3 linked regions of the Coturnix japonica genome follow. The protein of the gene in region 2 purifies or fractionates together with the protein of the main gene of each other region. This does not show direct contact. Links are inferred from orthologs where the notes say so. Each region holds a gene or a part of one and is shown on either strand. Other genes may lie near its edges.

Evidence for each region.
Region 1: the proteins of MTMR2 (region 2) and MTMR12 purify together in Homo sapiens (affinity purification with mass spectrometry; 5 studies listed by BioGRID and IntAct, with this or other methods). This does not show direct contact. The link is inferred for Coturnix japonica from reciprocal best matches to the Homo sapiens genes MTMR2 and MTMR12.
Region 3: the proteins of MTMR2 (region 2) and MTMR10 purify together in Homo sapiens (affinity purification with mass spectrometry; 5 studies listed by BioGRID and IntAct, with this or other methods). This does not show direct contact. The link is inferred for Coturnix japonica from reciprocal best matches to the Homo sapiens genes MTMR2 and MTMR10.

The regions. Positions count from the first base shown.
Region 1 is NC_029547.1:8,936,921-8,946,652, forward strand, and holds part of MTMR12 (myotubularin-related protein 12), read right to left. Parts: intron 8,240-9,732; coding exon 8,161-8,239; intron 6,534-8,160; coding exon 6,463-6,533; intron 5,275-6,462; coding exon 5,102-5,274; intron 4,421-5,101; coding exon 4,253-4,420; intron 3,595-4,252; coding exon 3,433-3,594; intron 2,407-3,432; coding exon 1,831-2,406; 3' UTR 1-1,830. UniProt on the Homo sapiens protein: Acts as an adapter for the myotubularin-related phosphatases. Regulates phosphatase MTM1 protein stability and possibly its intracellular location. By stabilizing MTM1 protein levels, required for skeletal muscle maintenance but not for myogenesis.
Region 2 is NC_029516.1:165,632,378-165,642,800, forward strand, and holds the start of MTMR2 (myotubularin-related protein 2), read left to right. Parts: upstream 1-3,659; 5' UTR 3,660-3,759; coding exon 3,760-3,842; intron 3,843-10,423. UniProt on the Homo sapiens protein: Lipid phosphatase that specifically dephosphorylates the D-3 position of phosphatidylinositol 3-phosphate and phosphatidylinositol 3,5-bisphosphate, generating phosphatidylinositol and phosphatidylinositol 5-phosphate.
Region 3 is NC_029525.1:4,816,024-4,825,755, reverse strand, and holds part of MTMR10 (myotubularin-related protein 10), read right to left. Parts: intron 7,946-9,732; coding exon 7,855-7,945; intron 5,465-7,854; coding exon 5,281-5,464; intron 4,871-5,280; coding exon 4,783-4,870; intron 4,639-4,782; coding exon 4,550-4,638; intron 4,218-4,549; coding exon 4,087-4,217; intron 3,971-4,086; coding exon 3,901-3,970; intron 3,713-3,900; coding exon 3,642-3,712; intron 2,768-3,641; coding exon 2,598-2,767; intron 2,394-2,597; coding exon 2,223-2,393; intron 1,585-2,222; coding exon 1,402-1,584; intron 891-1,401; coding exon 291-890; 3' UTR 1-290.

The sequences.
Region 1 (9,732 bases), on a different chromosome or scaffold from region 2:
ACCTTCAGGACTGAAACATAGCAATAGTTTGATCAAAAGTACATAAAAATTCATGTAATGGTTTCTTTTTCCAATGACAGTGTTTAAAAAACCCCTGAACCCAAATGACCTTAGAATGATGGATATTTTTCCTCTACAAAAATGCATTGCTCAAACACGCAAAAAAATCATTGGATAAATGGACTACTTGAGCTACTATAAAGTCTGGATGACATGTGCTGGACAGCCCATTCCAGTAAATGCTAGCTGTATGAACAACGAGATATGTATCAAAGCAGAAAGGATATGTAAGTATTAGCATATTTTTAAACACACTGCTACAAAGTTGGGCTAAGATTAAGGCAATCAGGAGTTGAGAAGCTTCAGTTTGGCATAGAATTGCAGCAAGATCTCTCCCTTCCCCCACTTACACATTTCTTCTAACATCACTGTATTTAAAGAGCTGCAGATGATCTTTTGTCACACGTATGAAGTGCAATTCACTGCGAAGTGACTGATCTGTAACTTAGTTTAAAAACCCTGATTACACTGAGCTGATCAAATTTTAAAGTGTTAGTTTCTCTGTTTAGATTTTCCAGCGTGGATTTATAAATCACAGAAGAATACAGAGAACATTCAACTTCCACCATCTCAAATTAACCAATGCTATGATTTGCATCCATTCTTGGGGTACTCTACCATTTAAGGGTTCAAAATAGACTTGACAGTCAAATAACACTCAACTCTACAAAGGACAGTTATCTGCAGCAAAAATACTTTTTATATAAACATACACACAGTAGATCAAAAAGTCAACAGGCATTTCTTTATGGCTTTTCTCACTGAGGTACTGTTAGAACATCCAGAAACAGGATGCAAATGTTTGTAGGGTATGAAAGCCACATTCATAAGCTGTACCACTAACTCATGTCAAGTGGCAACAAGCTGCAAATTCAAGACTGTCTTCCCTTCCATGTGGAGGTCTCAGTGCAAGCTTCAGAAAGCCTCAAAGGCAAATGGCATATGCAGGGAAATTAGAGTAAAAATCTCCTCATCTACATGAGAGGAAAAGAATATCCATAACAAACTAGAATCTCTGTCAGGCCATTTCCTACAATCAACAGCAAACATTTGGGACTTAATTTTCCAAGGCAGCAAAGGGAGTATGACAGCAGACACAACAGGTCCTGAAATGTTTAGTTTAGCTTAAAGATCAGGTGCAAGAGCTATGTGCAAGCAGAGTCTCAGAAAAGCCAAGCTGCTATTATACCACTACACAAGGTCAAGTTCTGCAAGCCAATCATGTACACCGCTAGAAAGGATGAGGCTGACAAGCACATGACTTCATTTGATGCCACATCAGACAGAAATCCCCAGGTTTTGTCCTCAGTTGTAAAAACTTATGCTTGAAAGCACATTTAGTTTCACCTTCCCCTCTTCGTTTCACATGGTAAACAACTGCAGATGTATTAATAGGTCCTATTAGTTTTTAGCACAAAAGGAAGAAGGTTTGATGTTCAGCAAGTCTGCAGATTCCTCATAACTGTTGCTGCACACATTTAAGTATTCTACCTTTGAATCAGAAAATGTTTTCACATAAAGCAGCCTCATGGCTGCATTTCATGGCAGCCTAGATCTGTATTTTTAAAAAACCTATTCTATAGATGCGTTTCTGCAATAAATACTGTTAGAGTAAAATCAAAGTTCAAAATATACTCAGCCAAGTTTCCTATACCCTACAAACCCACTCAGCAGGCTGTAGGTACTCGAGTTCTTTAGATCAGGATACAGCAAAACATCTTAAACTCAGAGCTTAACCACATAGAATACGTACATAAATTTATACAGACTTTATAACATATCACTACTTAGATCAACAAATTCATCATCTCTCTTGACCAAGTCATCCTCATCTTCCAAGTCTTTCCAGGTGCTCGTGGGTAAAGCGGGTTTGACAGACTGTCTCTGAAGTAAAGCAAAAGGAAACAAAGATGACAAACGAGCAGAATTCCTCAGCACTGGAACAGCGTGTATGTCTCCAGAAACAGCCTGACTATGTTCTTCATCCATTTTCACTTGCAAGTTTTGCACTTCCTCCATCAAGTCCAAAATCTTGGCGGCTGTGGCGATTGTACCACCGCCATGAAGCTGCGCTTCAGGAATCCATCGTAAATAGCGCTGAGCCCAGACTTTGATTTCAGGTCCATCGATGCGAGGCAACAGAAGACCATGATAATCAACAGGTTTACTATGCCAGCTATCATAAAACTCCCTGAAGCTGTTCGGAGGTTCATCTGAAGAATTAATGAACTTGCCAATTCTTTTACCTAGAATGTTTTTAATTAGATGATCTGTTTCCTCCCTGAAAAATCCCCTCTTTGGCGAAGACTTTGTTTGTGTCAGTGGCAAAGAAAGCTGCCGTTGATGCTTTAAGGGGAAAAAGAAAATAAAAATATACTGAGATAAATATTGATGACACTTTAAGAATCTTCAGTAAGAAAAACATTGAAACCGTATTCAGAAATACAGTTATACCTCACTAAATACCTAAAAGCAATGAAGTGACTTAAACACAGCCTGGCCTTTGCTATAGTGTCTGCCACTCTTGATGGCTAACGTATCAAATAACTCACACAGTATTCTGTATTTGCATCTACTTCGCCTGCAACTACAGCAGCAAAGTAACACTGAACAAAGCATTCCTTGAAACACGAAAATGCCCTTCATACAAGTACACAGATTTCCAAGTTTAATTTAAGATGGCCATACAAATCAAAGCGCATTTGACTTAGAAGTTTTTAATTCTACATTTCCTCATTACTTGCCACTTTATAGAAGCAAATTACACTGTGTGTCATAACAGTGTCACACCTGAGAATGCTTTAGTACAAAACAGACTTTAGACAACAGGGAAAGTTCAGAACAGCTACCCCAAATAAGTTCCTTTTTTTGAATTTATGTTATTTGCCAGTAATGAGGTGATCCACTCAATACTCTGAACCCTTGATGTTGTTTGATTCTGGGTTTGTTTTGTTTCTTAACGCATGCACAGACTCCCATTACACTCAAGGCAAAAATCAGGGAGGCAATTACAAGCTTGCTATGCAATTCAATTAAGTACTTTTGGAACAAAACAATAAAATAACTTAAAATCATTACAACTCACCTGAACGTTAAGTTCCAGGAAGAAGTTAGTAGCTGTATGCAAGTGCAGTAGTAAGAAAAGCTGTGCTGTGCACAGAAACCATGGAAGACTGATTGAAAAGCTGAGAGAGATGCAAGCAGCACTCAAGACCTAGATGAGTCTGAGCTGTACACGTTTTGTCAATTGATAGTTGACGGTAATACCGCTACTGTAAGCATGTTAGAAGTATAACCAAGTTGTGCTACTTTTTCTTATTTTTGAGCTATAGAAATAACAGGTTAAGCAAAAAATACATATATATATCTTACTTTGAATCGTGCTGTTTTCCGTTGGCTTTTTTCTGGTTTTGGTTTCTCTGCATAAAGAGGGTTGTTCAGAAAAGCCTGGGCCTTGAGATCAAACTGCACAGACCAGTCCCACACAGTGAGGAATCTGAAAGGACTGCTTTGTGTCTTCTGGCTTTCACCGGTCTGCCAAAACAAACAGGTCACAACTAAGACAGTTAGAAAGGATTACTGACCAAGTCAAGGTGAACTTAAGAAACATTCTGAAAGCTGGGTGGGAAATGGATAATTGAACTCCAACACAGAGGGCATGTCAGGATTATGGAATAAACCTCTCTATTTCACTGCAGTCATGCAGTGATGCCAATTTAAATGTTATGCTCAGCACTTCGTATGCTAAACAGTGATCTTTAATTTCTTAGGCTCCTTACCGCCTACTTCCACCTGCTTAAGCTAAGGAAAAGCATTAATCAAATATAAATCAACAGCCAAAAACCACTGATTTTAGAACAAAGAGTATGTGACAGAAGAATTTTGTAGGTAACTTCTGCAGGACAGCCTGGGTTAAGCAGCTCAGTTTTCCACTGATAAGTAATGAATGTGGAACTACTGCCCCACACCAGAAGTAACAGATTTGAGTTATTTTCATCTTGTCATCATACACTCAGAGGTACTGGACATGACTCTCTAGATCCAAAGTTGCACTGATTCACCTCCAAAGCACCATTCTTCAATTAAATAGGAAAAAACACGCTACTAGTGATTTTATTCTTTTTCTGAGTATTCCTTGCCTATTGGTCAAACTTGTTATCCAACAGACTGCATTCACAAAACAAACCCTTACCATAGTAGTGTCTTTTTGATGTTGTGAGTTGAAGAAGAAAGTGCTGAATATAGGCACATAGAGGCTGTCAGACAAGACAGTTAAGTAAGTTTCTGTGAACTCAAATGCTGCAGGATACTGTTGTACCAGCTGCCAGACACAGTTCAGCAAGAGCAGAAACACAGGAGCCTGAAAGAAAACATCTCATCAATTTCACACACACAAAAAAGTACATTCTATCATGCAGACCATTTATTTTACAGTATTTAGCATCTACAAACTCAAATCAAAGAACACAACCTGGGGAATTATGGAATTGCTGTATACAGCTTGGGCTGAACTCTGCAGTATCATCTGAGTGACCCCAAGCCAGCTGTTAACAGAAGAGAGCAACACTTTCTAAGCTGAATTTTACACATTAGCTCACTATACAAGGCTGCAGAGGAGCCACTTTCTAAGTTGCAAAACTAGCTCATAACAACTGTTAATTAGAATTGAACAGTTTGCATCAATGATTGCAATTCCTTACAGCAATCTGATTCATGCCCAAAATACAAACATGGAGCTGTGACAAAAAACGCATAATTCACGTTAAGTTGTTTCTATGGATGTTAACTATTTCACAGTTTAAAAGGACACAAGATGCAAGTCTTTTTTGAAAGGCTCACAGACTGAATTGAAATTTCATGTCTATTCTTTAGTTGTAAAGGCATTGATGAACTCTATATAGCAGAAACACTAATACTATATCAAATATTCACCCATGAAGCAGAAAGAAAAACAAAGGAGCTTCTGGATGGACAGCTAAGCCCCTCTTTAAACTAGATAAAATTTTAGATAACAGGTAAGGAAAATTAAAGAAAAATATACCTCTTCTTTGTCACTTTTATGTAAATGGTTACAACGATCCAAGAAGCCATGTCCTCCAATTACCCACTCCTTCTGAATAAGGCTCTGAAATCCCAGCTTTGTTCTGCTGTATGAATCCATCATCACTTGAACCAGACTGGAGATTACACAGCACATATCAGTGGCACTCTCTTCTACAGAAGAGAAGAAAAAGCTGCATTGTCTAAACCATTCCTTAAAATTTGGGTAACAAAGCAAAGAATTACTAACTGCATGTTACAAATCAAAACTGTATTTTAAAACACAGAAGCACACAATTCCTCACAAGTTATATCAGAGAAACATTAAATCTGTATTTCTAATACTGTTTTTTAAAATTATTATTTTTTTTTTTTCTGAAAACAAAGGTTTTTGGACATATATGCTAGACAAAATACAAAGCAAACTTTCAATACTCTGATTTTGATCCCTATGCCTTTCAGTCTCCCACAGGGCACATACTGCCCCCTCCTGCCTTAAGTTATTATACCAGCTACTCAATCCTCTCCCTATTGTTCTGCATGCACCTTTGCACAAGGTGTGGCTGTGATTTTAAGTATTCCTAAATGCACACAAGAGACATAATGTAAGGAGTGTACAACAGTGCTGAAATTGCTCCCTTGTGCAATATCCATCTTCTGTCATTCACGTGCCTTTGAGAAATGTCTTCCAGAGCTAGGTTTCTCAAATGGTAACGTGGTCAAAAAATCCCTCAAGTGTTGATAGAAAAAAAGGGTGTTGGTTAACATTAAGTTTGGTTTTCTATGCGATTACTTTCATCAGTCTGGGCAGACACACTGCTTAAGATGTATACAGTAAGCATACACTTTTTAGTAAAGTGATTATATATGTTAGTGTGCATCTAGAGCAAAAATAACACTTTAAAAAGCTCTTATTCTCTATGCTCTGTGTGAAGCTCATCCTCTCTCTTCAGCCTCAAAACAGAGCAAAAGACCTTAAAAATAAGTTAGGAAATGAGAATGAATAAGAGACAGTACAATTTGCATAAAAGTTTATAAGCAGCTTTCTCCTTCATAATCTATTCCTCTTAGCTCTGAGCCATGCTTACTGAATGTTTCCTTATGTTTTTTTCCTGTTTGTTTGTCCTGTTGGTAGTCTTGTTTTTAAGCTACAGTAAGTATTTCCAAGAACATGTGATCTTAGCACACTTAAAGTAGCAGACACTTATCAATTGTACCAGTTTCTACCATATTTTTTATGAACCGAGAGCTTAAGCTACATTTTTAAAACTTCAAAAGAAAAATCAGAATTATTTCTACAAATAGGGTAATATATTGAAATTTGAAATAATATAAAATAGGATAATCTCATTAATTTCTTACCAATAAGGAGAACATTTGTATGCTGCCTTTCCAGACACTCAACAACTTCTATAGCTTTCTTCAAGACTCGCCTATTGTGGTACAGGAAGAGATTAGTTTAACCATTAAGATGTTAGCCAGTTAGCTATTAAAATGTTTTTTATTAAGAAAAAAAGATGCTCCCTAAAAAGGAGTTAAAATGCACTACTGAGACTTGCTGATTCTTTTAATATAAAACTTCACTCATCTTCTACAGATGAAGAAGCACTTCATTTCAACATCAAGCTTCCAGGAGGTATCCTTATTTAGCAATCAATCACACATTTCCAGTTGTTAGCTCTGTACATTCATCATACAGTACTTGATTCTGAATCAGTACAAATCATTACAAAGACGAAGCGTTACTATTGCTGAGATCCAGATCTTTTTCTTAGTACATAGCCTCACTTATTTTCCAACCTGCTACATGGTGTATTTCTCCCACAATCTGTTTTTGAGCAAGAGAGGGGAAGATCAGCAATCAGATGTTGTAAGCATGCAGACAATGCTTATTCAGAGATTATCATTACACAAGGATGACTGAGTGGAGTTAAAGACCATGTAAAAACAGACTTACACTGCTGGTTTCTAGCCCTAACCCTTGATGAAGTTGGCACTTAGTGAAAATGTTTGCATGCAAATGATGATTCTTACAGCTGATCAGGCCACTGACAGATGTGAACGGTTTAGTCTCCAATTGTAAAGCTGTTGGATTCTTTAGTGTGGTTGAGAGGGCATTCCTACTGACTCCAAGAGCCAAGAATATACTGATTCAGAAAGTAACTGCATACAAGTATGGAATGACCAGTCTCAAAGCAACCTAAGGATAGGAGTTTGGGCTGGTATGTACTTTAGTTAATCGTAATAAATGAGTTATGTCAATGGACTTCCCAACATATGACCTTCACAAGAACCTCTCATTCAATCAACGTCAGTATTTGTTGACTATTACTCCACACAGAATGAACTTAAGCTGACTGCAAAAAACTGAAGAAGTACTTCATAGTAACAAGCTGATCACAGAATAAGCCAACAGATAATTCAGACAGCACAAAGTAACACTGAAAACAAAGAAAAGAACCTCAACATTCCACTACAACAAGCCTTATGCCAGCCAACACCATTCCAAGACTTACTCACTGTGGATTGCTGAGAGAAGAAAAAGAACTTGAGGAACAATCAGGAGAGGAAGGGGACAAAACTGAGAACAACTGTCATTTTATTAATCTGTGGTGGGCTAACATCTTGAATACTGCAGTTCATCCCATCCTAAAGGATATTATAGAAGTAGAGAGTACAAAGAATGGCAAGGCTAGTCAGACATGGAACAGGTTTCATGCAAGAAAGAAAGAAAGAATACTTCAGTTTGGAAAGAAGCTGACTAAGTACAGGAAGGAAATTCACAGACCCATAGTTTTAAGAGATTTCCTAAAAGAACTGTCATTAGAATGATCTGTTGCTTCTCCCAATCTTTTAAAAGTGGGGTGCTTAACACAGTTCTGCACTGTAGAAATGGTGAACTATGTTGTAGAAGAAAGATAAATAGGACCATAATATTGTCTTAGTTTCTTGAAATACAAGGATGTCCTTCACCTTTCCAGTAGGAAAGAAAATTCTTGAAAACTCTCTAGAAATTCAACTAGCAACAATCTGAAAACAAGAGTTATAGGTATAGCAAACCTGATGATCTCTAGCCAGTTTGTGCTCTCCAACAACGAAAACCACTTCACATCAGTTGCCCAGAAGTCCGTACTGTTATCTGAACAAAACAAAAAAAGCAGTTTACTCACATGTACCACCAAGTGATGGCCATCCATTATATTAGCTCTCAATTACAAAGTGTGGCATGCATTCCAAGCTGCAGAGTTTTTGCCAGTGCATAAAAGATTCAGCGATAGATTTGGCAGTGCGTCCAGTTGTTGATAATCACTTTGTGGTTTTATGACTTTTGTAACTGATATTCTATATCGTAACATCATGTAGTACACTGGGAGTTTAATAGTTAGGCCACCAAGTCTGTGGATTGTCAGTAGTTCTGGGTATACCTTTCTTAGAAGAGAAAAAATAGAAATCCCATAAGACTTAACTATTCCATTTCCATTTTCCATTCAGAGGGAAAGATGAAACTGCTCTCAAGTCATGAGACTGCCCTTTCTTTTACTGCTCATCTCTGCACCGTGTGCTCCCTGACCACCTTGCCTTCAGCATTACAGTAGGGCCTTTGGTTTTGGACACTCTCTAATCTCACTTTATTTATTAGCTTCAATTCCAATTGTATTGTGTCACCTTGCATCCTGCTATCACATTTAGCAAATTAGTCTTCTCCCTTAGCTCACTGCCACTGTTTTATTTTTAGGCTCACCTCCCAATATTTTCTCTATCCCCTCTCCTAAGGCATGGGTTTGTGGGTCCCTCCACCCCATCAGTTATGGAACCAGGCCAGAGCTTTGACACTGCATAGCACTGGAGAACATCCAAAGAAAACAGCAAAGTTAATTGCTTTGTACCAGAACAAAGAAAAGCCGATGTTATTTGGCTTGCTCAAGAGTAGTAATGCCACAGAAATGAACAGTCTTGGGAACTGACAGACTGTACTAAAGCTTCAGAACATACATTATCAGATCAGAAGTTTGATGCCAAGTACATGAAAATTTGAGTACGAGTTTGCAAAGCTGTGGCAGGAGAATACTCATATCCTGTGACTCTGGAAACTAAGCGTTTATGTTCAATTTGCACAGCACTTCATCTCTTCTGAACTTGAGAGTTGAAGATTCTGATGTTGAATATTGAACCTACTGAAGGCAAATGCAAGAAGCAAAAAAGGACAGTGGTGCATCACCTCCAAAGAAGACATCTGTTAGTGCAAAGTCCTCAACAACGGGCAGGAGAGATTATTTTACTGGTGAACCACATGCACTACCAGGAGACAGTGCTATGAGGCAGTAGCTACCAGGCAGCATTACTTTGAGGTGAGAGCCCAGATGGAAGCAGAGCATATTTTATAAGGCAAACTTAAAGGCACCATTATATACTTCCAGAATCAGGTTCACTCAACCATTATCACCAACCATCACAGTCGGGTGTAGTGGTCTTACAGTTAAGTACTTGTATGCTAGTGCAGGACGCATGGAGAACACTCCAGAAGAGTAAAAATGGGATCAGAAGATCAACTAGCAGCCTAAACAGTGTTGCCCAATGATATTTATTAAATTGTGGAATGATTCTTTTTCTGTGCAGCTGTTACACATAGAA
Region 2 (10,423 bases):
TGTGGACTAGTAGAGAAGAAAGCACAGTGTGTGAAGCTGCCACTGCCTGGAGTTATTTAGTGTGTTGGCTAACAGGGCACAGGCAGTGATACAGGAACACATGAGTAATTTGAGGAAAATATGGGTGATCCAGAGCTCCAGCAAGGAGAGTGAGTTTAATGTCGGTGATGAAGTGGAGGACAAGGGCACCATTTTTGAAAGGTATTAGGGCAGCCCTCCCTCTGTATTTACAGGGCTTTCAAAAAACTCTGTTGTTTGATGGAGAAGAGTGGGAAGGAGGGGAATGTCTGATGAGCTGTACGATGGAAGGGCAGGGTATGATAAAGACTGCAGCAAGAGATCATGCCTTCTTAGAATCATCAGAGCACACAGCCTTTCCCTTTGACTAATGTAGAAGAAGAACTGTTTATCTGCTCTGGCACACAGTGTCCCAGCTATGTTTGGTCAAAGAGTTATAGACGACGACCAAACATCCCCACAAGATCCATATAAGCAGGGGACAGAGTGAGGCTGATTGACTGTGCAGCAGTAAAGCCAAGGAGTTCCAGGACTGGGATGCTTGTAAAATCTAGCACATTCATCTATCATACACCAGATGCATGCACTACATGCACACATTCAGCTAGAACGCCTTTACTCTACAGACATGTAGTTTAAATATAATGGATGCATACACTATCTTTCATGTTGAAGGACAGAGACAAAATTTTACTTCCCCTCACTTGTTTTATGTAGTACATAAAATTGTCCCCTTTGCTTTGTAGTCTTCACAACTTTTCACCTCTAAATGCCTAAAGAATCATAGAATAATTGAATCAAAGAATGGATTGAGTTGGAAGGGACCTCAAAGATCATCAAGTGCCAACTACCCTACTGCATGTAGGGCCACCAACTCCCAACTAGATGCCCAGGCCCCCATTCAGCCTGGCCTTTAACACCTCCAGGGATGGGGCACCCACAGACTCTCTGGGCAGCCTGTTCCAGCACCCCACTACTCTCCTGGAAAAGAACTTGCCCCTGATATCCAACCCAAATCTTCCCTCCTTCAACTGAAAACCATTTCCCCTTGTCTTGTTATTATCTACCCTTTCAAAGAGTTGACTCCCCTCCTGTTTATAGGCTCCCTTTAGGTACTGGAAGGCTGCAATGAGGTCACCCTGCAGCCTTCTCTTCTCCGGGCTAAACAAGCCCAGCTCCCTCAGTCTGTCTTTGTAGTAGACGTGCTCCAGCCCCCTGATCATTGTGGACATCCTCTGAAGCCTCTCCAACAGCTCAGTGTCTTCCTTGTGTTGAGGGTACACCTGGACACAGTACTCCAGATGAAGCCTCATGAGAGCAGAGTAGAGAGGGACAATCACTTCCCTGTCCCTGCTGGCCACTCCTCTTCAGGTAAGAAAGAAAGGCTATTTATTTTATATCAGTTATAAACGAGTCTTGTGAATTTTCCTTAATTGGTTTTGGTTATGTCAGGGCCTTTAGTTAATTCTCCATCACTTCCACCAGCCCTGAGGTAACTCACTTCCCAGGGAGAAAATTCTGCCTGACTTTGAAAACGTGCTATTGCTGAGCACAGAGACTCGCTGAGCAGCCTGGTAGTTCTTTTCAGCGGCAGGAGAGATCCAGGAGGTGATTAGCTTTGTTCTCATTTACAAAGCACCAGAGAGAGTTTCTAAAGGGTTTCACAGGCCCTGGGGATAAGGCCAAGAACAAAACAGGGCAATGAAAAGCAAATAGCGCACTTCATCAATAAACTACATAGAGATGCCACATCAATGGCAAATTAGGAAGAAAAGAAGGCACTCTAATACTTTCACATAGCAAAGGGGGCTTGTATATTGTTTTTACTCCTACTTGACTTCTTTTAAACAACTGTGCTGCTATCAAACTACATACGCAGTGGGAACGAAGGTAACTGCAACTCACCATAAGGGTATCAGTCTGATAAGATTGGAAAGCGAGACATACACGGCTCTGTACCACTTCCACAATAGCGACCTTTGCTAAGGGTTAACGCCTTCAGGAACTCAGTCCTGAGAGGGACTGGGAAGGGACTGAAGAACAGAGAAAAGGCAGCCAGGAGTTATGTGACCGCTTACCAGAGATGCAGATCTGCTGCTGCTGCTTCAGCAGCCCCTGCCAGCCCGTGTTCTAGGCTGAAAAGGAAAATAAAGAAATAAGTGAATAAATGAAAGGACTAGACAAACTCATCTGGCAATTCAGGGACTTTTTCTGAAGTTAAAAAAGAAAACCAAAACAGCGGGGAAAAAAATTGCTTTGACAAAGCTGTGTTTTCAAGTTTAAACCAGCTTCAAACCATCCCACATCGAGCTTGCTCAACAGCAGCTGAAAGACACTAAAGGGAAGAGCAGGGGAGGGAATTTCACAGCAGCTTAATGCTGTCTCAGACGGGGCTGCTGCAATACGGCTTCAACATCCTGCTTGCCCTCACCAGTTTGCAAGTGACTCGAAGTGCTTTGGACTTACATCCAGTGACAGGAGCAAACTGGGAAACAGCAGGAGGAGGTACATCAACTGACTTACTCTTTGGAGAGCAAATGGGTGATGAGTAACCATTTTACATCCATAGAACATTCAGATTTGTAGAGGATTTATGACGTTTTGAGTTACTGTTTCAAGCATGGATGTCCCCTGGGAGTCATATTTGTGACACTGGGTGTTCTCTTGCCTCTACCAACAGACTGCTGACTAGCAGGCTTTACTGAAACCCTCCTGCTTGCTAACAGTGCTTTGGCTTCTTGTCTGCCTCATAGAACCTTTGTCAAAACAGCTAATGTGTTCAAAAGACACTGTGAGAGGGAAGCATCAGCTGCAGTTCCTCCTGAGTCTTTGTAAATAATGTTAAGAGCTCTTCTCTTGCTCATCAAACTGCTCCAATATGAGGCCTCACAGCACAGAGCAGAGGGGCAGGATCACCTCCCTCACCCTGATGGCCACACTGCTTTGGATGCAGCCTAGGATACGGCTGGTTCTCTGGGCTGTAAGGGTGCATTGCTGGCTCATACACAGCTTGCCATCAGTCAGTACCCCAAAGTCCTTTTCAGCAGGGCTGTGCTCAATCCTTATACCCCTTGCTTGCCAAAGCCCAGTTGCAGGCCTTACACTCGGCTTTGTTGATCCCTTAGGGGGGAAGTTCTTCACTAGGAGAGTGGTTAGGCCCAAGGAGGTTGTGGATGCCCTGTCCTTGGAGGTGTTCAAGACCAGGTTGGACGGGGCCCTGGGCAACCTGATCTAGTAAATGTGTATGTTTGGTGGCCCTGCCAGGCAGGGGGGGTTGGAACTACATGATCCTTGAGGTCCCTTCCAACTCGGGTCATTCTGTGATTCTGTGATTCCGTGATTCTGTGATTCTGTGATTCTGTGATCCCTATGAGGTTCACCTGGACCCACTGCTGGATCCTGTCGAGGTCTCCTTGGATGACATCTCATCTCTCTGGAGCATCATCAGTAAACTTGCTAAGGGTGCAGACCCCACTGTCAGCGTCTTTGGCGAAGACCTTAAACAGCGCTGACCCTGACACCACGGCGGCTCTCGGTGACGCCCGTAACCGCTATCCCTCACCGACCTCACCGGGCTGCGGTCGCTGAGAGGCGGGCAGGCTGCGGCAAAGGGAGCGGCAGCGCTCGGTATCGCCCCGCCTCGGCCCGCCCTCCCCGCTCAGCACGCCGGGCCGGCATGGCCGCCTCCATCCCCGCTCTCGGCTGACGGCCGCCCGTCCCGGGGCCGCCCCGCAGCCCGGCATGGAGGAGAGCTCCAGCTGCGAGAGCCTCGGCGCCGGGCGGGCGGTGGCAGCGCGGCCGCCCAGCGGCGATTCCCTGTCCAGGTAACGGCCCCCGCGGGCAGCTCCAGCTCCTCAGGGCTGGGCCTGAAGGGCCGTCCCGCTGCACGGAGCCGTGGCGGGGCGGGGGGAGAACATCGGTGCCGCCGTTCTCCATCAGTGCTGAATGCTGCTCGGGGCGGCTGAGCCCTGTGCCGTCTTATTAACAGGAGCGAAGGTCGTGGGGTTTGTTGAATCCGTGTCGTTTTGTCCCCCGACAGCCTTAGGAGAGCCTGATTTTTTATTTTTTTATTTTACTCTTAATGACATTTTAATGCTGCGTGGGTGATTTCCGAGAGGAAATTACCTCTGCGAGGCTTCCTGCGTCTCGCAGGGTGTGGGAGAGGTGTGGATGCCGTGACTCAGAAGCACATCTTGCGAGGCTGTGAGGGTGGGGCACAGGGAGGACGGACGATGCCCCGGAGGCTGGAGGGGTCCTGCCACGTTCTGGCTGCCCTCTGTGCCCAGGTTGAATGGCCATAAGGATCTCTCAGTCCTGCTGGCATGGCTCGGAGGCCAGGTCATACTGGAAACGTGCAAGGATAGCGACTGCACGTCCTCCATCCCTTTGATACCTTCTGTGTAGCCTCTGGGGCTTCCTGTGGGTCCTTCTGAAGTATTTCCTGCTCCAGGCTGACCAAACCCAGTCCATCCTTATGGGGGAGGTGGTCCAGCCCCCACCCTCTCAGTGGTCTCTCCTGAGCTCCCCTCCAGTGCCTTTAGGGAGATAGAAACTGTATGCAGATCCCAGAAGCACATCAATGAGCACTGAGTTGAGGAGGCGGACCTTTCCCTGCATCTCCTGGTGCTTCCCCTGTGCCTTCATCCCAGGGTGACATTGACTTCTGCTCTGCTGTGCCACCCAGCAGGACCCCCAGGCAGGCAGTGCCCACTCTGCATCGATAGCGCATCCTTCTCATGTCCTCTGTGACCATTTCACTCTGCTTCATCAAGCTCTTCTGTTTTCTGTATCTGTTTCCATAGTGTGCTTTACCTGCCAGATGCCGTTTCTCTTTTTCCTCACTTCCCCAGTATAATTCTCGTCCACTCTCTGCATCAGCTGGGGCAGCTTGGACCCATCTGAAGGTCAGTCACTGTACAGGAAACTGGGACCTGCAGTCATGGAAACACAGCTTACCTTGGAAGAACCTTACTCAGCAGCATGCCCTGTACAGATGGAAGCACTGGGAGATGGAGGTGGTAAATCTGTCTCTGCTGAGCATGCACAGGACTGTCCTCCAAGTCCTGAAAAGGCCTTAACTTGAACAGTTTTCTTGGGGTATTAAGAAGCTTATCTGATAACCTTCAGAATTTCAAGTCTCTGCTCCAACATCTCGATGCAAATACCCTGAAACATATTTGTATGGTTGAATGTATTTTACATTCAACATACAATATATTTATTTTCATCCCTTTCTTATTGTGGTCTGTAAGGTAGGACAGCTTTGAGTTCTGAGCCCTTGGTAAGGCACAGCTGGTAGAGTTTACCATTGGAAAGGTTGCTCACGTGAATAAGGACCTTAAAAAACACACGTGTTAGAATGTTTGTCATTTGGTTGTGCAAATGGGATGTTGGTGACGTCTGATAGTGGAGGTTGCTTTGATGTTTCAGTAGACCTGAGTGATGGTCTGGGGCTTCTGGGGGACTGATAAATACCTTTTCACTGTGCTAAGTAATAGTTTGGAAAGACTCTCTGTGAAATTAATTAAATTAAAAGGTGATATCAAATTGTAGGTGACATTAAAGGTGATAAGGCATTTTGTTTGTGTTGTGATTCCATGTCTTAGTCTCCAAATGAACAAATCTCTGTGTGCTTCCATAAAAAACGTTTGAAAAACATATTAAAGCTCAGTCTGAACAACAGACAAGTAGAATGGCCAGGAGTCTCTCTGTTAGGTCCACTGAAGGTGAATTTGTACTGCCTGTGCAGAAGCGTGGATGTGATTGTACAGGAAGGAAATTGCTGCAGGAGATGTCGGTGATTTTTCAACCTCAGTCTAAAATGACAGACAGAGATAAGGCAGTGGGCAGATGTTTCCTGCCAGCGTGACTGTAGCGATGTTTGATGTTCCCACTTTCTGGTTGCTTGTTACCACCTCTCTGCTGGCAGTTATGCTCCGTAGAGGTCTGCGGGCGCAGTGAATCCTGTGCGCTGTGCTTCATGCTGAAGCATATGAAAACAATCACGCTCCTTGTCCTTAGCGTTTGCAGGGGTAACTCAGAAAACATAAGCTCTGTGTAAATCAGTGCAGCGAGGTCTGTTGAAGCAATAGCTCCACGAGGTATGAACTCCGTTCATCTCAAATAAGGTCCTGTCAATACCTGCTCTGATTTAAGGCTATGTTGAAGGAATTCTTTCCCCACAGATGAGAGTGATGCTGGAAGGAGTTGGATCTGTAAGCTGTTGGCTGAGGAGGGCTCGCTAGCACCACATTGCTACCAGATGTGTGTGATTTGCTGATGGAGTTGTTTTGTGATGAGTCATTGAAGTTAGAGTTTGAAAAGGAAGGGTTTTTGCCAGTTCTGGCATTCAGTGAAATGCGAGTAGCTGTCTTTTTCTTCCTGGACTTTGAGAGCACTTCTTGCTTTTGATTTCTTCTATGCGTGCAGCAGGATTTCTGAGAGTTGTTGCCATTGAAGACAAGTATGTTGCTTGCTGAGTGCTGATAATGAACTGATTCTTTGTATCTGAGAAAATAAACGCTATGCCTAGAAGCAGTTAGCAGCTCCCAGCACACTCATTATTATTAATTTTAATATAGGAGTGATAATTTATAACACTTACTTGCAACTAAGGCCCATTTTGAGATAGATTATTTTTTTCTCAAGTACTGCATATTGTGAAGATAAGGAATAGTTTTGTTTACGTGACTCGCAGAATGAGGAGAGTCTGTTGTTGGGGTCAGAGGATTCAGGTAGAAAACTGATAAAATAAAGCTGTGGAGTCTTTTTGGGTGAACATTTGCAGTGCATTTGTGAGGAGAAACTCTGACCTTTGAAGAATACGAGAATTGCTTTTAGTAGCAGACTTTGGCATCCACATTTCAGTTCCTGCTTCTCTTGGCTTATGAGACCTTCAGCCATACAAGTTTCCCTTTTGGGCACACACAGATTCCTTTGTCCAGATTCTAAACATTCAATAAAAGTGCACATGTTCTTTCTTTTTCTTTTTCTTTTTTTTTATAAGTGTGTTTTCTATTTGAGAATACAAAATGCAGTTGACATTCACCTGTTTCTTGCATTCTAATTCATGTTAAATTATTGGTTAGAGGCCTTATGAGAATTTGGGGTGCCACAGCTTTAGCTGCCATACAAATACAGAAAGAGCTGATTTCTGCATTGGAGAGCCAGGGCTGCTCTATTTTTACCAGTGCCTGGCGGGTTGCTGTACTGAGCTCTTGGACGTTCAGTAGAGCACTGTGGCTCCTTGCTGAGAGATGGAGCGAAGAGCGAGAAAGTCTAAGAATGAGATGAAAAACTGCTGCGGAGAGATGAGGCCAGATCTGACAGCTGATGAGGAATAGAGTGAGGCTGAGAACACGGCCCTCTGGGGTCCTATCAGGCACTGCCTTTTCTGAAGAGAGATGGTGCTATTATGTTGACTAATAGTCTGTTTGCTAGACAGTTTTGAGTCTTACGCATAGTCCTGTAACTACAGGCTATTTACAGCAGGAACACAATTACAGAACCTGAATTGTAAGACTTGGGATGACCCAATGATGTCAGTGACACATTCCTATGTATTATCTGATTCTCCTCCTGCTCTGACTTCATTTATAGGTTAATACTGATCTTCAACAGGTTAATTATCTGTTTCTTATATTTTAATGGTTGCATTTCTTCTCTTCTTCTATTGTTTTTGACCAAAGGTAAGAAGTACATTTAGAAAGGTCATAACACCTCTGGAATGGCTCAGAAGAATCAATAGCCTGCAGCTTCTTTTTTGTTAACATTTTCCTGATGACCTGCTTTACTGTGAATGTTTTTTTAGTGTTGAAGGTATTAGGTGGTGTAAAAGAGACCTGATCCATACCCCAAAGAGCTTAAGTTACCTGAGAACTTAGTTGGGATGGGGGAAGAAAAGGGGAAGAGCCAGCATGCATTAGAAATGCATCAGAAGCTTTCCAGAGGTTGCCATGATCAGGTGTTATATACAAGGTGTAGTTGTATAAGAGGCCATGAAAAATATGATGCTGTAGTTTGTCCATGGGAAACCCATTCCACCATAAAGAAGAGGGTGATGGGAAGGTAATGAAGTGCTTCGCTTGTAGAGGTGTTAGGGATAATAACCCAGCAAAGGGAAGGTACAAAAAGGATATTGTCACGGTAATTACCCCAAGTCTTCATTTTTAACTGGAAAACATCTGGCTGTTTTATAGCCCCAGTAAGTAGGAGCTAATTGAAGAAAAATTCTGTGAAAGACAACAACAGAAAATCAGTGGAACTTTTCAAGTATTTGTTTTTCCTTTTCCTACCATCTGTAGTTTCCTTTGCCAGACAATGTTCTCACTCAGTAATTTTCCAGTGATTTCAAGGTAGCTCTTTTCCTTGCCTCTGTTGCCTTTCTGCTCCATGAATTCTTTTCCATTGCTTTCTAAGCCCTGATGTATTTAATGAAGAAAAACTGTTAGTAGTTTTCAAGTCCATAACCCCTTCAAAATGATATTCTAGTCATCTTGCTATCTATGCACAAATGCTCCCACTTGACAGACCTTGCCTTTCTATAGGCTTCTGGCAGTGCCTTGGGGACCACTAACGTTACATCACCCAATGGTACGGATTTGATCTGGATCAGGTGTGGGTACGATCATGTTTCTGCTGTCAGAGAGAACAAACTTAGGGTGTTTTTTTCTTCTTTATTCTGGGAAGATGGGCAACATCTGGTTAGAATAAAACAACAGTTTTATTTGGATTAATTCATTGTGAAGTAAAGAGCCTATGTCCTGGTACAAATTGTTACACTTGAAATATTGTTCATTGGTGAAAGGGCAGCGTGTCTTTATATAGCCAAAATTTATTGTTAGTGTAAATGAAATCTTGAAAGTCTAATCGTTATCAGTCTGGATGCGCTTGATACAGAAAAAGGAAGAACGATGAGTTACAAGTGTCATAGACTCAGGTTTTTAGTTTCAGCATCTCTTCCTGGTGCTGGGCTCACCCCTCTCCGATGCCTCTTGGTTCCAGGCTGATGGTGTTACTGTGGCCCTGGTGGATTTTACACAGTGCTCAGCATCTGGAGTCCTTTGCCAAGAAGAATGAGATTCACGTTGATGGTTTCTTCTTTCCAAAAATTATAATGGTAGAATGAATATACAACTTAGGTTTCTTGCATGTCTTACGTGATGTGTTTTTGTGCAAGTTGTTTTTGTTCATGTTTTTGTTTGTTAGTTTCCCTGGCACAAAAAGGCACTAATATGTGCATTATATAATATTTGAACTCCTAAACCACAGCCTCATTGGTTCCTCTTCCCTTACCTGAGAATAAAGAATTCTTGTTATATTAAGAGGCCCTATTGATTTTGATTCACACCAGTCCTTCTTAAAGACAAAGACTGCAAAGATGGATAGGACCAAACTCATCAGTTATTTCAGCAAAATCTGCGTGTGGATGAGCTGAAGCCAAGGAGTGAGTTGGTTGTGTACATCTATAGGAGCTGTCCCACAGGGAAGTGACTGAAACCTGTGCTACCAGAGATAGGCTGCTGAAAGATGATTGTCCAAATCAGCAGTTGGGACACCTTTAACAAGTAAAAACTGATCAGCATCGCTGGTAAAGAAATACATGGAATCCTCTGCTTCCATTTTACCCAAAGTGGCTTTTGGAGTAGGATTCTCTTGAAAATTCAAGCTATGTTCTTCATTCTAGTAGCAGACATTCCATTTTGACACTGACAGTGTTCTGTTGTGTATTTCACCTCCTGCTTTCATCTCTCATAAAGAAAAATACAGACCTCTTGGATAAACTTTCTCTCATCTCACTGCAGACCTCTCTGACGCACATCTGTGCCAGTCTCTGGATTTCTTTTTGTAGACAATGGGAATGAAGTAATTCATATCTTTTTCTTCCCAGCAACTGCAAGGAGAGCCTACAGTAATTCAAATGTGAACACCTACACAGAACTCTCTCCCCATCTTGTGTAAGGGTCAAAAAGTGTACTGAATTTGGCTTGTTCTCCACGCTGAAAAAGGAAGGAGCTATTAACTCGTGTTCTCCCTCTTTTCCATGTTAACTAAATCTGTTGGCAACTGAAAAGAGAACAGAGATTTATAGCCTGGTTTCCTCATGTAGCCATGTTTCCTCATGTATCAGTACACATCTGTCTGCTTTGTTCACTGTTAGTTTCTGTAACCTTTGGACAGTTTTAACTGCGTTTGTCAGAGGGGTAGAAGTAATAGCTAATATCACATTTTGCATTTAAGCAAAGGCGGAGGTGGCAAAGGTGTCTGTGTCAGTTCTTCCATTAGTGAAAATGCTTGTTTCTTTTTCAACATAATAAAATACCTTGATGAGAAAGATGTCATGAACATGTGGAAAATTCTCTTGAATCAGACTTCAGTCAAGTTGGAGAAATACAGAAATATATAA
Region 3 (9,732 bases), on a different chromosome or scaffold from region 2:
CATCAGCACTCATCAGAAATGCTCCCATCTCATAGAAAGAGCCAAACCCTCCACACAAGGAAAGTACCAGGGACCAGAAACCAGACCAGACGTGTGGATGAGAACTACTGAAGACAAATTTGTGCGATTTGAAGCCTGACTCGCTTTGCTTTTAAATATTTGTGCAAAACTTACGTAATGTTTGTATATAAAATTATTACAGCTTTCAAGGCTGCCTTTAGCAGTGTTAAATTAGAAAAGACAAAATGATATGCTATACCCTCCCCGGACCTGTAGGCCACCACATCATCTTAGTCTTCATTCGCAAGTGTCTCAGTGGATAGCCAGATTTTGGCACCACTTAAGAATTTGCTTAAAGGCGTTCCCAGAATGCTCCGTCTGCACAGGTTCCCTACAGGTGAAAACGGGAATGAGGAGGAGAGAAAGTCTGGGGCCCCAGAGGTGTCGTTTAAACCACTGGCTCTGAAGTACATCCTGCCTTGATCCAGTTCTGAGCAGTTACCTTGCAAAGGAGAGTTGCTTTTGCACTGTCGAAGGTTCCGGTTTAACATGTCCACTTCATCTGCCAGCAAAGAAACTTTATGGAAAGCAGCGATGAAGCCACCGTGATGAATCTGGGCCTCGGGAACCCAGCGGAAGTAGCACAGTTTCCAGAGTTTGATCTGTGTTCCAGAGAGATGGGGCAGAATTACGCCGTGCAAATCAACAGGCTTTGCAAACCAGTCTCTGAAGAACTGTTCCATACTATTACTCTGACTCTCTGTTTGCTGTAAGAAGTCTGGTTTCAGTTTCAGTATCAGAGAGTTTCTTCTTGGAAGGAACTCCTGCTCACTGATGATTCCATTTTTTAATGCTGGGGGGACACCTCGCAACGTCGAGCTGTAGTTTTTCTGCAGAGAAGAAATACTGGTCATTTATGCTCACTGCAGCAGATCTCCCTGAGCTCCTGTGAAGCATTAACCAGCTGAACGATCTGACCTTCAAACAGTTCTGCACATAGGAGCCATTGCACGGCTCACAGACCAAATGGGGCCACTTAAAGCCTTCAGGAAGAAATACTTAGGTTTTTCAGACTTAGCAAAACAACAAACAATTGAAGTCATCAGCATTCACTGACAAAACTGACAACTCTGCAGAAAAGAAAGGAGTGTGTCGCTGCTTTTCCACAGGTGAAATAATGCAGCCGTCAGCAGCGAGCTGAGGTGAATCAGGGAATGTCCTGGAACACAGCTACAGGCTTCTACTGAAGACCCTTTGTGTACCCTTTCTTAAGGCTGTGAAGGTAAGAGAAGCCTTAGCACTCCTAAGTGACAGTGTACAACACATGTACTTGCACATTTTTAAGCACCATTACAGTTAAGCACAACCCACCCATCCCCAACCAGAAGTCACCAACGTTACCTTTGAGCGCTTGAAAGTTTTCACTGCTCCGTTCTGCACACACGGTGCGCTCTTCCCAATATACAGAGGGTTGTGAAAGAGCAGGCGATCCCTGCTTGTAAACTGAAGAGACCAGTCCCAAACACAAGGAAATCTGAGGCCTTTCTCATCACCCAGCTGAATGTTTTTGCTTATAGCAAATTCCTGCAAGAAGTAACATTCGGCATGTTACAAATCAAATGCCTTTCACAAATCTGAGCCATAGCAGTGTGCAATAACCCGGTGAAGAAGAGCAGAGACATAACTTAGAGGTAGCTGCAGATCAGAACAGTGCAACAAGACAGTCTGCTGCTGGAGGAAACTGCTGCACCCTGCTTTTTGTTTGTGCAGCAGAGAGGCAGGACTAACACTCAGCAGAAAGCACTCCTCAATGGTACCAAAGTGTTCACTATTAAAACCCTTCAACTCTTATTCCGAGAATCCACTTGTGGTTTTTCAATGTTCTACTTCTTTGTAAGGTTGCTCCCTGCAGCACTGCCTGGCATTCTACAATTCCAGACATAAATACATCTGTCTCTTAGCAGAGTGAAAGTAATAACATACAAATAAACAAAACTATGTAGAAAAAAGGAAATTCAACAAACTTTCTTCCAGAACCCTCTTACCATCTATGCAAAGCTCACCTCAAAGGACACTGTGATCATGTTCACCTGGGGAGTATTTTACACCAAACAAGAGAGTGACATTTTGGAGAACACAAAGGAGTACTGCTCAGTGCAGATGCTGCTATTTCTGGAACAACCAGCTGTAACTGAACAGGGGGTGTAATGCTTCATACTCACAGTGCTTTCCTTTACTCGTTGATGCGGACAGTTGAAAAGGAAAGTGCCAAACAGTGAGATACGTGCACTGTCGTACAGGATCGTCAAGTACATTTCAGAAAACTCAAAGGCTGCTGGGTACTGTTCTAGCAGCTGCCAAACACAGTCGAGAAACATCAGGAACAAAGGGGACTGGGAAGAGAAACAGGGAATTTGATTAGATCTCACACAACAACGACAGATAAACAGTATTTCTCTGCCCTGGACAGCAACTCACTTACTCTAATGTCAGCTTCATGATATTTCAAAGCATGGAAAACATTTTTACTTTCAGACTATTTGTGAGTAAATGTTTAAGACAATGCTGTTATCAGAGGAGAAGAAAGGCACTTTTACCTCTTTGTCAGATCTCTTTAAGTGGTTACACCTATCTAAAAACTGATATCCTGCCATGACCCATTCCTTCTGTATCAAGCTTTGAAATCCAACAATGGTTCGAAAATAGGGATCCAGCATGACTTGAACAAGGGAAGCAGCAAGACAGCTCAGGTCCCGTCCCTCTTCCTCTGCAATCACACACAGAACATAGGAAATATATAAGGTGTATATAAGTATATGCATACACATACACAGAATAACATCCCAAAGAGCACAAGCTGGCAACTGAGTTTAGTTTTTAATTTCCTTTAAAATAATTTATAATTATAGAAATAAATATCTTTGCATTTAATTCAAACTTTTTCTCAGTTTCAAAGAAAAGCTAGATATTTTCAGTGAGACTCATCCTATACTGATGGTTCCTGCTACATATCCAGCACAGCAACGCAGTCATAAAGAACCAAAGCATCCCCTGGAAAGCCTGGTACTTGGAAGAGGTGCTCTGAAGGAGGGTGATGGTGTTGAGGGAGAGCTTGAACATGTTTTACCTGGAAGCAATTCTTAGAATGCTAATAAACCAGTGCTGGGCAAGTGCAACACTAGTTGAACATGTCTTGTAAAAGGGCAGAGATGACACCATTTCTGATCCAGATAGCAGAAAGTTTTTCAGAGTATTTTTTCTAGAATGTCTGTTTGCACTGATGTTGGCTGCTCTGGTGTAACTGAGTGCCATCAGCTGGTGAGTGGGCCCTTAGAATTAAAGCAGTATTGCTTATGCGAGGAACATTAGCCCAACCAACACAGTGCAAAAGTCCACGGGGCAGTTCTGATTCTGTCATTATCAGAGAAAAAACAAGAGGGCTCTAAGTGAAATACCCCTTTGATGTTATGGACAATAATGCAGCCCAGACACGTAATAAAATGTCTTCCAGTTCCTTGAATATTTAACATACTTAGAAGTGATGTGTTTATCATTCATAAAGATGATAAGTTGACTTTAAGAAATTGTGTTTGTGTACATTACGTCAATAATGCTAATAATTAGGGGCATGGTTGTATTACCTTGTAGAACTACAGAAACATGCTTACACTCCATCATATACACGAGCTCAGCAGAATGCTTAAGAAATGATCTAGACAGGGAAAGAAAGTGATGTAACAATTAATATTACAGGTTCACACTCTAAAATAAAAAACATTATTCCTATCTATTTTTTACCTAATTTGTTAATTAAAATAGCAGATCCTTCAACTGAATCACTTCTTACATTGTGCAAGTTTTTTACACCTCATGTACCATCGTTTTATTAATGACACAAACCTGATATACTCTAACCAGCGAGTATTCTCCAGTGAGGACAGCCACTTCTCTTCCGTTTCTTCGAAGGGCTCTGCAACAAGGAAAGCAGTAACGCTGCAGAACAATGAATAACTACACCTGCCAGCCAGATCTATTAGAATTGTAGTCCAAGGAAATCACCACTAAGAGGAAGACTGTTCAGCTTACCATTAACACACAGTTGTTTGAGTTTGATGTGCGCAGCCTGGATTTCCTGGATGTTGGGGAGACACTTGTCCAGATCAGATTTGTAAACATCGCTTCTCAGGGGATGGCTTCGAGTTATTGCATTACAAATCCTTGGGTATTAAAGAAGTAAAAATAAAAAACCATCAGTTTTTTTTACTGGGGAGAGTACTTACGAAACATTCCAAACTGCAAAACACTAAAAACTTGTAAAACATGCTTTGTTAAGAAAGAACGAGTTCATGTTTATCTTTAGGAGATGCACTGCTCCTGCCACAGAGCTGCTGGCTCAAAACATGTGCCTGAACTCAGAGGAGTTTCTCAAGCTTTCACACTGTAACATTAAGAAAAAGCATGCTCTGCATTACAGAATGCTGCTCTACGTTACACACCATTGCCCTGTGCTTTATGCTGTGTTAAAGGATAACATCAACTAATTCTTTACCTTTGATCAATTCTTCTTTGTTGCAGCACATCCTTAATGCTGGCCATCCTGACAAGGGCACTCCCGTTGGGATGATTCCAGGACCATAACTAATATACAAAAAACACAAACCAGCAAAGCATGTTTGTGTTATTCCATGCATTTTTTCCCTTAACGCTCTTTATAACCATGTTAACAGGCATACATATCTTCTTTTTAGTGCTGTATTAATAAAGAACAAAGGCTTTACTTACTGGCATTCGTCTCCCAATAAACGAGTGGGAGTAGAGCTTAAGGTCTTGATCTGCTAAGGAAGAAGGGACCACAAAATATTCTGGAAGGCTTGGGAGACAAACACAGAACAAAAAGTTACTTTTCCTTATTATTTTTATCAGCTTTTCTCTTGTTGCAATACTGTCTACACAACTCTATTGTGCCAAATGTTAATAGGCTAAGTAGTTATCATGTGCATCTCCTATGTGTACAGCTCAGATGTATTTGCTTACAGACATGCAAATTTCAGGGGGAAGTATAAGAGCATGAAAGAAACGGATGCCAGATCCAACACTCTGAAAACAGGGCATTCCTACAAAGATGGCACCTGCAGGACCTTCCAGTGGAGGGCTCTCTCCATAGAGCACTCTGATGAGTTAAATTAGAGTTAGGTGGGATTGCAACTTTGTTAGAGGATCAAAGACAGTGTAGTTGCCCTGTTTGCTTCTATGCTTACTTGCATTATAAGAAAAACTTACCAAGTGGATATCATGTAGCCTTCATTGACAGAACAAACTCTCCACTCTGATGCACCCGTCCTTTTGATTTCTCTATCCCAATCAGAGTAAGTTTCAAACAAAGGTGTCTGCTGACCGCTGGCACTGCTGATGCCTCCACCGCTGCCACCGCCGCCTCCTGGGTCCACTCCATTCACCTTCTTTGCTAGGAAAAGAAAATTCATCAATGCACATTAAAAAAATAAAACATTTATCTTCCTAATTACAAGAGCAAGTCACTAATATCGGACCAGCTTTACCTATTTTTGCATGAACACAGATCTTTGGCTCAATGATGGCTAAGATGCAAATGCATTTTCTTCCTGCGAGGTCAACAGAGAAGCAACAAAAAGCTGGTGTGTGGTATAAAGCTGGAGTGTTGTGCTGCTCACTACAAAGCAGGACATGCTAATGGCCAGGAGCAGAGCTTATCTTCAGTGACAAGATTTCTCTCTTCAACATGCCAAAGTCACAGATGTTGCAGAAATAACTAACTGTTAAACACTGCCCTTTAATTGTCTTCTGCATGAATTAAATACTTGGTACATAATTTCAACAGCTTTTCCATATAAATTACCATCTATTTAATAAAAAAGAAAACTCAAGTGAAGACTACGCTAAAAACTGTTTCATAGTGTTTATTTTCTAAAATACCTGTTATATATGTACATACACACACACAGACGTGCACACCCGGCCCATCGCTTTGTGGGTAGGGACCAAGATGATATGCCCTGTTATTATTACAGAAAATCCTCCTTGCTGGTCATTCTTTAGGTGCCAAGGAGGCAGCCAGCTGCGACAAAGGAGACTGCATTCTGTTCCTCCGTACTTGGCAAAGTTATTAAATGAAGGTGAAAGAAGCTGAGACTTCCCCCAGGAAAGCTCCCAGTAAGCACCGTAAAGATGGAAGGAACAATGTGAATTCTGCACAAGCAAAGCAGAAGTCACTCCACTGTGATGTCAGTGAGTGCAATTTCTAACTTGTGTTATCTGTCAACTTGAGCACTCGGACTTTTTACAATTCCATTCTTTCTGAAGAAAACTACAGAACTCAGAATGAAGGAGTTTTCCAAACAGAGTGCACAGAGGAGTACTATAATTACCTGGTGGTTCATGTAAGAAATTCACTGCTTAACAACAGTTATTTATCAAACATAGTCTAGGATAAAATGATGTCCAGGTACACCAGAGCAACGCAGGCTCTTTATGTATAACGACACTATTTGAAGTCCCACTGTACCAGGATTGCTGAGAACAGACAGTTACAGAACACAGTGCTGGAGTGGTAGGAGCAAAGCCAGAGATCCATGCCACAAACCAACCAGGGGTCACTTTAATACATGGAGATCTTCCAGCTAAAAACAGTATCAACCAACACCAAGTGCTTCAAGCTTTTCCCATTAGCAACTACAGCGTAACAGAATGACCAGTTTCTGCCATTCTGATCTGCTGCTCCATAGGAATAAGCATTCTACCCACCTCTTCTAACTGTTCCCCTACTTGTTTTTCCCCATATAACAAACTGTACTTTAAGAACAGAGTTAAGGCAACTCTGCGACAGATCCGTATTTTGTTCATGCTCTGCTTTAACTTCATTGTCCTCTTATCTGCAAAATGACTTCCTCCCTGGTACTTCATTACACTAACATACACAGACCTTAAAAACCACCAAAGATTTACCAGGTAAGATAGTATGTAATTACGCGTGCAATATAATCACATGCACATTCATTCCTGTGCATGCACATGGCGGTCATGTAGGCACCTGCATGGAAAATGTTCGTCTTTGTACAAATTTGAATGTCTGAGCCTACAATTCCACAACATTCAAATTTAGTACCAGGCAGATCAGTGGTTTCTAATCTCAGCTGCTGGGTAAATATTTCAGTACCACAGAACTACGCTGATGGTACTTCTGCTATTTGGAGGCTTGCAGTGCTAGAACTGATGGTTTTCAGCTGTATATTGGCTGGGGAACACTAAGCAGTGACCGCACAGCATGACACTAGAAATCAAGTTCCAAAGGCATCTTTTTCAGGCTTACCTAACTGACAGGGTTCAGTTGGAGATTGGCCTTGAGCAGAGAGGGTGTGCTCCAACTCAGCAGGGGTGGTGGAGGTTTTGGGTGGGAAGAACTGCCTAGTAAGCCTCTAGGAAAGAAGGTTTGGAGTCCCAAGCTGCACAAATCCTCCTGCAATACCACCAGAAGAGAAACTTATTCCCAAAAGAAGGGCAGGTGAATGAGCCTGCCTGATGGGAGATTAGCTAGGCACCTAGAGCACCAGTAGAGACCAATATGCTGATAGGAGGATCAAAGTGTGAATTGAGAAATATTCATGCTGACATCAGTAGCTTTGTTTCACACAAGATATTTCTTTTGATTTTGGTATTTAAAGTCTATCATGATGACTGACTTGCATCTGATAGTAAGAGACTGGCTGCAGGACAGGCCACTTTAATTACCCCTACTGACTCACTTTTTGCTGTTGTTTCTGGATAGAAGTCTTACTAAATGTACACATTGTGGAATAACGAAAACATTTTCATACATACCTGGATTATGATATATTTCCCCAACATACTCGAATGCAAAGAGAAGCTGAAGATCCGTTGGCTGAGAATAATGAGCTATTGCAAGGCACACCTAGGATAGAAACAGTTATTACTAATGCTTATCTACATAAAATTTATTGTCCATTATTATGGTAAGAATAACAAAACCTAAAACCAGTCTTTAGGTGCTCTACCTCCATACTGATTAAAAGGGAAAACAAGAGGTTGCCTGTTGAAGGACCTATGTCAATTTTACACTATATTGTGTTCCAAAATTGTAAAAAGTACTTATGAATGCAAGTAAAAAGCAAATTATTCAGTAATAAAGAGCAGCTTTTTTCCATATGCTGCTTGCAAATGAATAATGCACAGTGGGAGATGCTCTATTGATGTTTGTAGTTTACCCGTTGAATGAGAGGCTGAAGTTTCTCCACCAATTTCCAAACTCAGTAAAAACAAAATGTTCATGTTAGTGCTGTTTGTCAAGGGTGGGGGAACTGCAGTTCTTCGCACTGCTCAGCTGTGAGAACTGAAGCAGGAGCCAACTGAAACACAGCAACGTGTCAGCCTCGCTAAGTCTGGCCCAGCCCATACAGCTTCAGACTCAGATGGCTTGTTTTCATTCAGGAAAGAAACGCGCCCATCACTTCTAGATGCCTGCGGGCTTAGCAAGCACCAACAGCATCTCTGACAACCTGATGCAGCAATCAGGTTTGACCAGGTTGAGTCACAGCCCCTGCCCTGGGAAGAGAAATTCAGCAGAGATTTCAAATAAGAGGTGCATCTCCAGAACAGCAGAGATCAGCCTGAAGCACAAGGAGGAGACTTGTCTAAACTTTCACATTCTTTGTAGCAGTCTCAGGACCAGCTATAAGCCATTCGATTTCTCTCCAAACAGAGTCCTTTTTAGTAGAATTTGTCTTGTTAAAACTAAGAGTGTAACTCACTGCTGAAGATCAGATATCGGGTCAGCAGTCAAGTCCTGCTGTCTGTCACTGCTTTCAGGTGGAAAAATCACCAACAAGTAAAAGGGAAAGTTTCTGTGCTTCCAAGGAATGGAAGCGAAGGAAAGTTGTTTTATTATGAAACACATAAAAGAAGTATATTCATTACACCAGCTGAAGGAATACGACTACTCGCATCATTGTGCAACGGGAAACACATCAGAGCTCATTTGTGCTAAGTTCTGCATGGAGAACACTTCTGTACTACTAGTAATTGAATACAACGTGTGAGCAGCATTATGGAACCTTTGCCATGTATTTTATTGAGACTGGCTTTTGATGGGGACACTTCCTGCAATGTAATGACTGCAGACTAACTAGAGCTGATTTATTTCTCCCCCCCACAACTCCCCAACAGAACAATTCCTATTCAGCTTTACAAAACAGTTGCTTTGCCTTTTCTCCACCACTTTCAGTTTTACCACAGAGCTGCAATACAAAACAGAGGATGGAAAAAGGAACAGGGAAGTGTTACAGGGAAATGGCCTAGCACAACCGTTTATTAGCTCATATCTAGGATTTGGTACAGCCATTAATAACTATCAAGAAGTAATTGGAAGCCCTGCACATTCTAATACACCTTGTAATTCAAAAAGCTGAAGAACTCTAATAAGGCAACAGCGATTCTGTAATGCTTGGCATTTTCTAAAGGGCTGATTTTGTTCGTCAGTGACAGTGAAGCAAAATGGAAATGTGCAGACATCTACATTCCGACTTCCATTTTTCTCATTAACTTTTCATTAGAGCAACTGCTGCTAGAGCCACTCACAATCTTCATTTATGGGCATGAAGGATGAAAGCTTTTTGCTATGCTGATCAGGTTTCAAGGCTTGAGGATGAACTGAAAGGCATAAAAAGATCCCACTGTGCTGCC